Linked DNA regions of Drosophila melanogaster. The protein of the gene in region 2 interacts with the protein of the main gene of each other region in a pairwise test. Each region holds a gene or a part of one and is shown on either strand. Other genes may lie near its edges.

The links. The genes of interacting proteins can lie anywhere in the genome.
Region 1: the proteins of PH4alphaNE2 (region 2) and aay interact in a two-hybrid assay, tested with the Drosophila melanogaster proteins (one large-scale study listed by BioGRID).

Annotation. Positions count from the first base shown.
Region 1 is NT_037436.4:9,421,229-9,424,982, reverse strand, and holds aay (astray), read right to left. Parts: upstream 1,731-3,754; 5' UTR 1,434-1,730; coding exon 621-1,433; 3' UTR 202-620; downstream 1-201. UniProt on the Drosophila melanogaster protein: Catalyzes the last step in the biosynthesis of serine from carbohydrates. The reaction mechanism proceeds via the formation of a phosphoryl-enzyme intermediates.
Region 2 is NT_033777.3:30,510,485-30,514,238, reverse strand, and holds the start of PH4alphaNE2 (prolyl-4-hydroxylase-alpha NE2), read left to right. Parts: upstream 1-2,024; 5' UTR 2,025-2,028; coding exon 2,029-2,228; intron 2,229-2,289; coding exon 2,290-2,438; intron 2,439-2,491; coding exon 2,492-2,642; intron 2,643-2,701; coding exon 2,702-2,901; intron 2,902-2,963; coding exon 2,964-3,619; intron 3,620-3,675; coding exon 3,676-3,754. Other genes in the region: CG31524 (uncharacterized protein), read left to right, coding at 1-86, 140-282, 335-485, 540-739, 799-1,448, 1,510-1,675, 1,737-1,843.

The sequences.
Region 1 (3,754 bases), on a different chromosome or scaffold from region 2:
AGAAGTCGAAAGTAAATTCGTCATGAAAAGAGCATTTGTTTTGTTGTTGTAACCTAATGGGCTATTATTGCAACTGCTAATAGCTCTGCAAGGCTGCATTTAAAACATTTAGGCTTTAATTGGTTTTACCTAATTGGTACCTACAATCAAAAATTTAAATAAAGTATTTAACATACTATTCCATAGAAAAATGAATGTTTTATTTAAACTTTTGTTGTATTTTTCGTTTTTGTTCGCCATAAACATATAAATACAGAAATTTATTTTTATACATATTTTATGTGCATGAAATTTCTTTAAATTAAATAAATTGCTTACAGTTGGATGCTAAAGCGTGAACTGTTCATTAGCATAAGGGCGCACCCTGTATTTTTACAACTTCTGCTGATTCACTAACAGTGCGCGCTTAACATATTCTGTTAAGTTAACAGTAACAAAGTTGATTTCACTTGTTCGTTTTCCATTTATTACTATCGCTTTTTATTATTGTTTAATTACGAACTAACGTACATATTATTACACACATACTTGGGCATAAACATGTGCATCACTACGAGCTATAACACGTTGATTTCAAATACTAAATTCGCCACTCCCCCACCGCCTTACGTATACGTATCTCACTGCCCCATCAGCTGCTCAAAATCCGTTACGTAATACTGTGCACGGCGATAGACCTCCGGCCGCACGACATTGCCACCGAAACCTATAAAGTAGTTGGCTGGCGGTACGGCCTCCAGATCGGTGGCTCCATCGCCGATCATGGTGATTAGGGAATCGTCGCTATTCTCCTTCCTTATCAGGGCGATAGCCTCTGCCTTTCCGCCGGAACGCGAAGTGGGCTGGTTGATATCAAAGCTATCGTATTCGCCCAAATAATCGAACAGCATCTTGTTGGCATAGACGTTTTTCAGGGGAATACCCAATTCATTGGCCACGGGCGCAATTAGGCAATCGAATCCGCCGGAGATCAAGTAAACCTGTTTTCCCTCCGCCTTCAAATGGCTGACGAAACGCTTCACGTTTTTGCTCAGTGTACTGGGTCGCTCCTGGATGAAATCCCTCACTTGCTGCTGTGTCGGCCGTATGATGTTCAAGCGAATTTTGAGGGCATCCTGGAAGGTCATGGCACCGCCCATCGCCTCCTTGGTAACGCGAGCCACCTCGCTCCCCTTGCCACAATATTCGGCCAGTTCGTCGATGCCCTCCTCGCAAATCACCGTGGAGTCCACATCGAAACAGACGATCTGCGACTGCTGGATGACCTTGGCCGCCAACTGGGGCTGCTTGGGCGGTGTTATGGCCGAGGCCACAGTGGTTTTCGCCGCGCCACCGGTGGTGCCATTGCCATTGCAATTCAGCTGTTTGGTCAGCAGATTATGGCCATTTGTGGCTGCTGCAGGACGCGCCAAACTCAATACGGAACCGCTCATCTCGACCGGCGAACACGTTGTGTTTTTTGGAAGCGGTTTAAGTTTTGGCTTTTCGTTTAACGTTTGGCGTAAAAGCTTCGGCTGTGTTTGGTGCCCAAAATTTTCCACTGCTTCTCTTTTTGTGTATCTCTTATATCTTGTGCTTTTTTGTTGTGTATGTTTTCTCGTTTCTTTTTGCACACGCGCTTCGCGTTGCGGGCCAGCTGTTTTTGTTTGATAAGTGGTTACGGTTTGTGTGTGCCAGCGGGTTTTCCTTAGTCGAACTGCTCGCGATGACTGATTTTTCACAAGTGACTCAAAAACAGTCGATCGCCCTTTTAAGAAAACCCGCTCAACGCACACAAAAGCGGTTTCTCTCTTTTTGTCGTTCTCTCTTTTCACACTGACCACACGGAACGAAAAAATGATTACCGACCACACGGAAAGAAAAATTTATGTCCAGACGAAACTATTTTTGTCCAACTAGCTGATTTGCATAACAATTTAAGCCACAAGAAACTAGATTAAAATTTTACATTTAAATACATTATCAAATCGAAATATCAATAATTGTAATTTATTCTTACAAAATGTAAACGCAGTTGCTTTCTTTTCAGTGTAGCGATCGAACGATAAGCATTACAAGTGTGCGAGTGGGAGAGAAATGCGTTTTTGTTACAAACTCCAAACCGTTTTCGTTTTTCGGTCAGTTCAAGAAGACTTCCAGAATACCCTAACTTCTATGGCTTATATTTTTATCCGCGAATTACGCTCAATTTTCATTTAATCAGTTTCAATTGAGAGAGAATTGCTTTGGGGGAACGTGAACCTTTGATCACAACATGTGCTGCATGAATGCGACAATGTCTGCTTATCACAAAATATATAAACAATAGAAACAATTATGGTTGAGCTGTCATTAAACTCGCGACACTCGACTGCTTAGAAGAACCGCCTAGAACCAGATTTTCCAGCAGGAGACCATCGCTCCTTATCTTTTCTGGCACCATTTCATACTTGAAGATTGCCAGGAGACCTGGTTCTGGGTCCAGACATCGAAAGACTACCTCAAAAATTATCGACAAACAAATAACAAGTGTGGCATTTATGACCCCGGTTCTAGAAATGTTGTCTGGTAAAATCCAAACACGGGCGCATGCTGCTTATCACTTTGAAAACGAAGTGTACTTTTTGCGTCTGGTTGATCCCCCTGTTTTCAATACTTTCTTTTTTGCATTAATGCTTAATCATTGATGTGGAAAATAACCGAAATCTCAGCTGATTAACGCTGGTGTAAGCCTTAGGTATTTTTAAATCGGCTAGACTTATATTTAAACTGTTCCAGTCCGACATTCTGATGCAATTTATAGCTACTGTTGCAGTGTCATACGCTTTCATGTAAGGTGAAGTATCTTTTTTCTCAATTTTCTCTCCGAACATTCATGATTTGACTTTTGAGTCTCCGGTAATTAGATACAAATCAACAACAAAAGCGAGGGGCGTGCAATTGCAAGTGGCAAAAACAACAATGACGGCTGTAAATGCAATTCTCTCTGCGGTTTCTTGTTTTTGTTATCGTTGCTATGGCACTTTTTTCGCAATTGTAGAATAACAAGTTGTTTTGATCGTTTGCGATCGTTCCGTTCGTGGTAAACAGCTCAAAAACAACAAAAAGTAAACTGCGGCTAGACCGCAAAAAGTATTTCAATGCCACGTTATCGATAACGATAAACAATTCATTGCGTGCAATGCGTGCATGTGCATGTTTGAACATGTTCTCATGCATATTTAAAGCTTACTTCGGCCAACGACTTCCACTAAACAAAGCCGTAAACAGTTGACTGCTTTTAATTGCCGTTGCCTCGAGCGACCAAATAACCAAAGAAGGAAGGAAAATCCAAGGGAATAACGGCCCCGACCACACCTGTACCTTTACCTGAGCCTGTCAGCGGCTGCGGCACCTGTCGTTTACCGTTATTTTTTGTTTTACCTTGGCAACTCGTCTTGGGTTTTGGGTGTACCTTTCGGCTCTGCATTTATCGATTGACCTTGTTGCTGCATAAATTTCCAACCAAGTCCGTTTCCATTTTGTATATGTATGTACACACTTTCCCTGGACATACAAACTAAATAGAGGTAGGCTCGTCACCTGATCCGGACCGCATGGCAAAGTACCCGAGCTGACTAATTTATTATGCCCATTGAATGGCCGACGCGGTAATGGTTCTAATTCACAAAAAATTCGTTGAGCAGTCGAAACTCTTAATCTCAAACCACTAAAGACCATTTAAAGTTTATTAAAAGTTTGAACTATTAGTTTGTTGGCATTTCAGAATAATGTA
Region 2 (3,754 bases):
GACCTTCTGAACATGGAAGACGATCTGGTCTCCAAATTGGAAGGCTACGCTGAAAAGTTATCTTATAAAGCCAATACCATCAGATGGTGAGTCAAATTGGTCAGCATTTCTAAAAAGGGCTCATAAGGCTTACTTAAAGGGGAATTCAACAGATGAGGGAACAGCTCGATAAGAGCAAGAAGGAGCAGTCCTTCGATTTATTTAACAGGTACTCCTTCATTCGTCACATGCAGGCGGATTGGTTGATGTGGAAACAATATTTAGATAAACCCGTGATTCGTGGTTCGTCATTATGTTTTAATATATTCAAGCTATAACGCTGTCATCTCTGTAGATGAGTTGAATTATAAACAGATGGACAATTTGAGGATGCCCCAGGAACTTGACTTGTTTGACGCATCAGAAGCTATAAGAAGAATGCAAGCTACTTACGCGATGTTATCCAATGACATAGCGGAGGGTTTCCTAGATGGAGTTCAGTACACGTATGTAGAAGAACCATTTCCTCCTAGTTCTTATTTAATCTATATCAATCCAAGTTCAAAACTGTCACCTATCGATTGCCTTGCAATGGGTCGACATTTGATGAATCAATCGCGATGGACGATTGCCGAACAATGGATTCTGGCAGGTATTAAGGCCCAGGATCGGAAAGGTCCTCAAACAGAGATGATCTTACTGAGGGGGCCGACAAAAGCTGAACTCTTTAGAACACTCGGTAAAGTGCGGTTCGAAAGGAGTAAGTTCAAAAAAAGGCAAACTATGGTTTTACTAGGAATACATTTTTGTTGATTGTAGGAAATGAAGAAGGAGCCCTGAAAGCTTATCAAGCTGCTCTCAAGCATTCGCCCCATGATCTGGAAATATTCCAGGAGTATCAAAACTTGAAGAGGAGGGTTCTTACGTTATCACCAAGTGAACCGATCCGAGAGGAACCAAATGATGATATCGAAGAAATGGAGCTGCCGCCTTGCTGCAGTGGTCGTTGTGAAGGGCCGCGAAAACTCAACAGACTATATTGTGTGTATAATTGTGTAACTGCTCCTTTTCTGCGACTGGCCCCCATCAAAACGGAGATTCTCTCGGTTGACCCCTTCGTGATTCTTCTACACGACATGGTCTCTCACAAGGAGGGTGCTCTTATAAGATCTTCCAGTAAAAATCAGATCCTTCCTTCCGAAACAGTCAACGCCGCAAATGAGTTTGAAATTGCCAAGTTCCGCACTTCAAAGTCAGTTTGGTTTGACAGTGATGCCAACGAGGCGACTTTAAAGCTTACTCAACGTTTGGGTGAAGCAACTGGCTTGGATATGAAACATTCCGAGCCTTTTCAGGTCATCAACTATGGAATTGGAGGCGTCTTTGAAAGCCATTTTGACACGTCGCTTGCGGACGAGGATCGATTCGTTAACGGATATATTGATAGACTCGCCACAACACTTTTTTATGTCAGTCCTTCGTTTGACGCTAACAGTTTTCTTATAATCTTAGCGACTCTTCCAATTCCAGCTAAATGATGTTCCACAAGGCGGTGCCACCCATTTTCCGGGTCTAAATATCACTGTCTTTCCAAAGTTTGGAACTGTTCTCATGTGGTACAATCTGCACACGGAGGGTATGCTGCATGTGCGAACAATGCACACCGGCTGCCCAGTTATTGTGGGGTCCAAATGGGGTTAGTAGAGCTTGCATTTCTGGATCTTCTTGTGTTTTATAGGCTTCATTACCCTTCACAGTTGTCAGCAAGTGGATAGACGACAAAGGTCAAGAGTTCAGAAGGCCCTGCTTAAGATCGCGCTTAGACTCAAAATATTTGTCATCAATAGAGAAGATTATTATCTAGCCTTTGCCAATAATAATTAATAAGTATAAGGAAAAAACATATATGGGGAAACATTAAAGTTGAAGCGAAACAAACCCCAGACGAACTATGGAATAAGGTGAAACTAATGGGTGTATCAATATGATTATGTACAGAACGGTACAGAATGCTTTTTTTCTCTAGCTGGATGCACAGTGGGTTTCAGAATGCTGTTCTGGAGATTGGTGCTCCTGGGAATGCTCTATCTGTCCCTGAGTTTTGGCCAGTTGCGAGAGAACAATGCCCAACAGCGCTTTGCAAGATCTGTGGTGAATATGGATGATATGCTGAACTTAGAGGACGATCTTGTCTCAAATGTGGAAAAGCTGGCGGAAGCGCTTGCACGAAAAGCCAAAACCATTAAATGGTGAGTAATGCGTAGGTCCAAACAATCACAAGGATTTCTTAATGCAATGCAAGCTTTGAAGGGGCGTCTTCAAGATGATGAAAAGGCGACAGGAGTATAAGTCGTCTATGGAAATTTTTGCCAATCCGATTGACACCTTTTCCCTCATTCGTCACATGCAGTCGAACTGGTTGATGTGGCTATTGTACTTGGAAACGCCTGTTGGCCAAGGTTAGATAAATGGTTTGAGATATTTCTTATTACTTAAGAGTCTCTTTGCACAGAGGAATTGTTTTTTGTGGACTCAAGGATGCCCCTATTGCCAAAGTACTTTGACTTTATAGATGCCGCTGAAGGCATTAGAAAAATGCAGGCCACATACCAGATGTTTTCCTCAGATATAGCCAAAGGCTTACTAGATGGAGTGCAATACAAGTAGGTGATGATGTCATCCTAATCAAGAGGGAGTTTTTAATTAATGTAATTACTTAAAGCTCTTCTCTAAAACCCATCGATTGTCTCGCAATTGGTCTTCATCTGATGAATAACTCGCGTTGGTATGCTGCCGAGCAATGGATAAGTGCTAGCATTGAAGCCTATGATCAGAAAAGTTCTCAGACCGATATGGAGTTATTGAGGGGACCAAAACTGGCTGACCTGTGCAGAATACTGGGTCAAGTACAAATGAAGCAGAGTAAGTAGGAAGTGCATTCAAAAGGTTATTTGGGTTGGGCATGAGACTTCTATTGATTGCAGGAAATCATGAGGGTGCTCTTCAAGCCTATCAGGTTGCGCTAAAGCTTTCGCCTCATGACCCAGAAATATATGAGGAGTATCGGATCCTGGAAAAAAGAGATCTTACGTTGTCAGATATCGAACCGATTGAACAGGATAAGGACAACTCCCACGAAAGATTGGTTCTTCCGCCCTGTTGCAGTGGTCGCTGTCAAGTTCCCCGAAATCTGAGTAATCTATATTGTGTATATAACCATGTTACCTCCCCATTTCTGCAACTGGCCCCCATCAAAACGGAGATTCTATCGATTGATCCCTTCGTAGTGCTCCTCCATGACATGATCTCCCAAAAGGAGAGTACTCTCATTAGAACTTCGAGCAAGGAACACATGTTGCCGTCTGCCACAACTGACCCAGATGCATCCGATGACGAAACACAAGTCGACACATACCGCACCTCAAAGTCTGTTTGGTATAGCAGTGACTTCAACGATACGACCAAGAAGATAACCGAGCGCTTGGGAGATGCGACTGGGCTGGACATGAACTCTACGGAGTTCTATCAGGTCATTAACTACGGGCTAGGGGGTTTCTTCGAGACGCATTTGGACATGTTGCTGTCGGAAAAAAACAGGTTCAATGGAACCAGTGATCGTATTGCCACCACACTCTTCTATGTTTGTATCCTGAGTTTTGAAAAGTGGCTTGTAAAGATTAATTTCTTCTCCGTCAGCTTAATGAAGTTCGCCAGGGCGGCGGCACGTACTTCCCTCGACTAAATCTCACGGTATTCCCACAGCCAGGATCGGCCC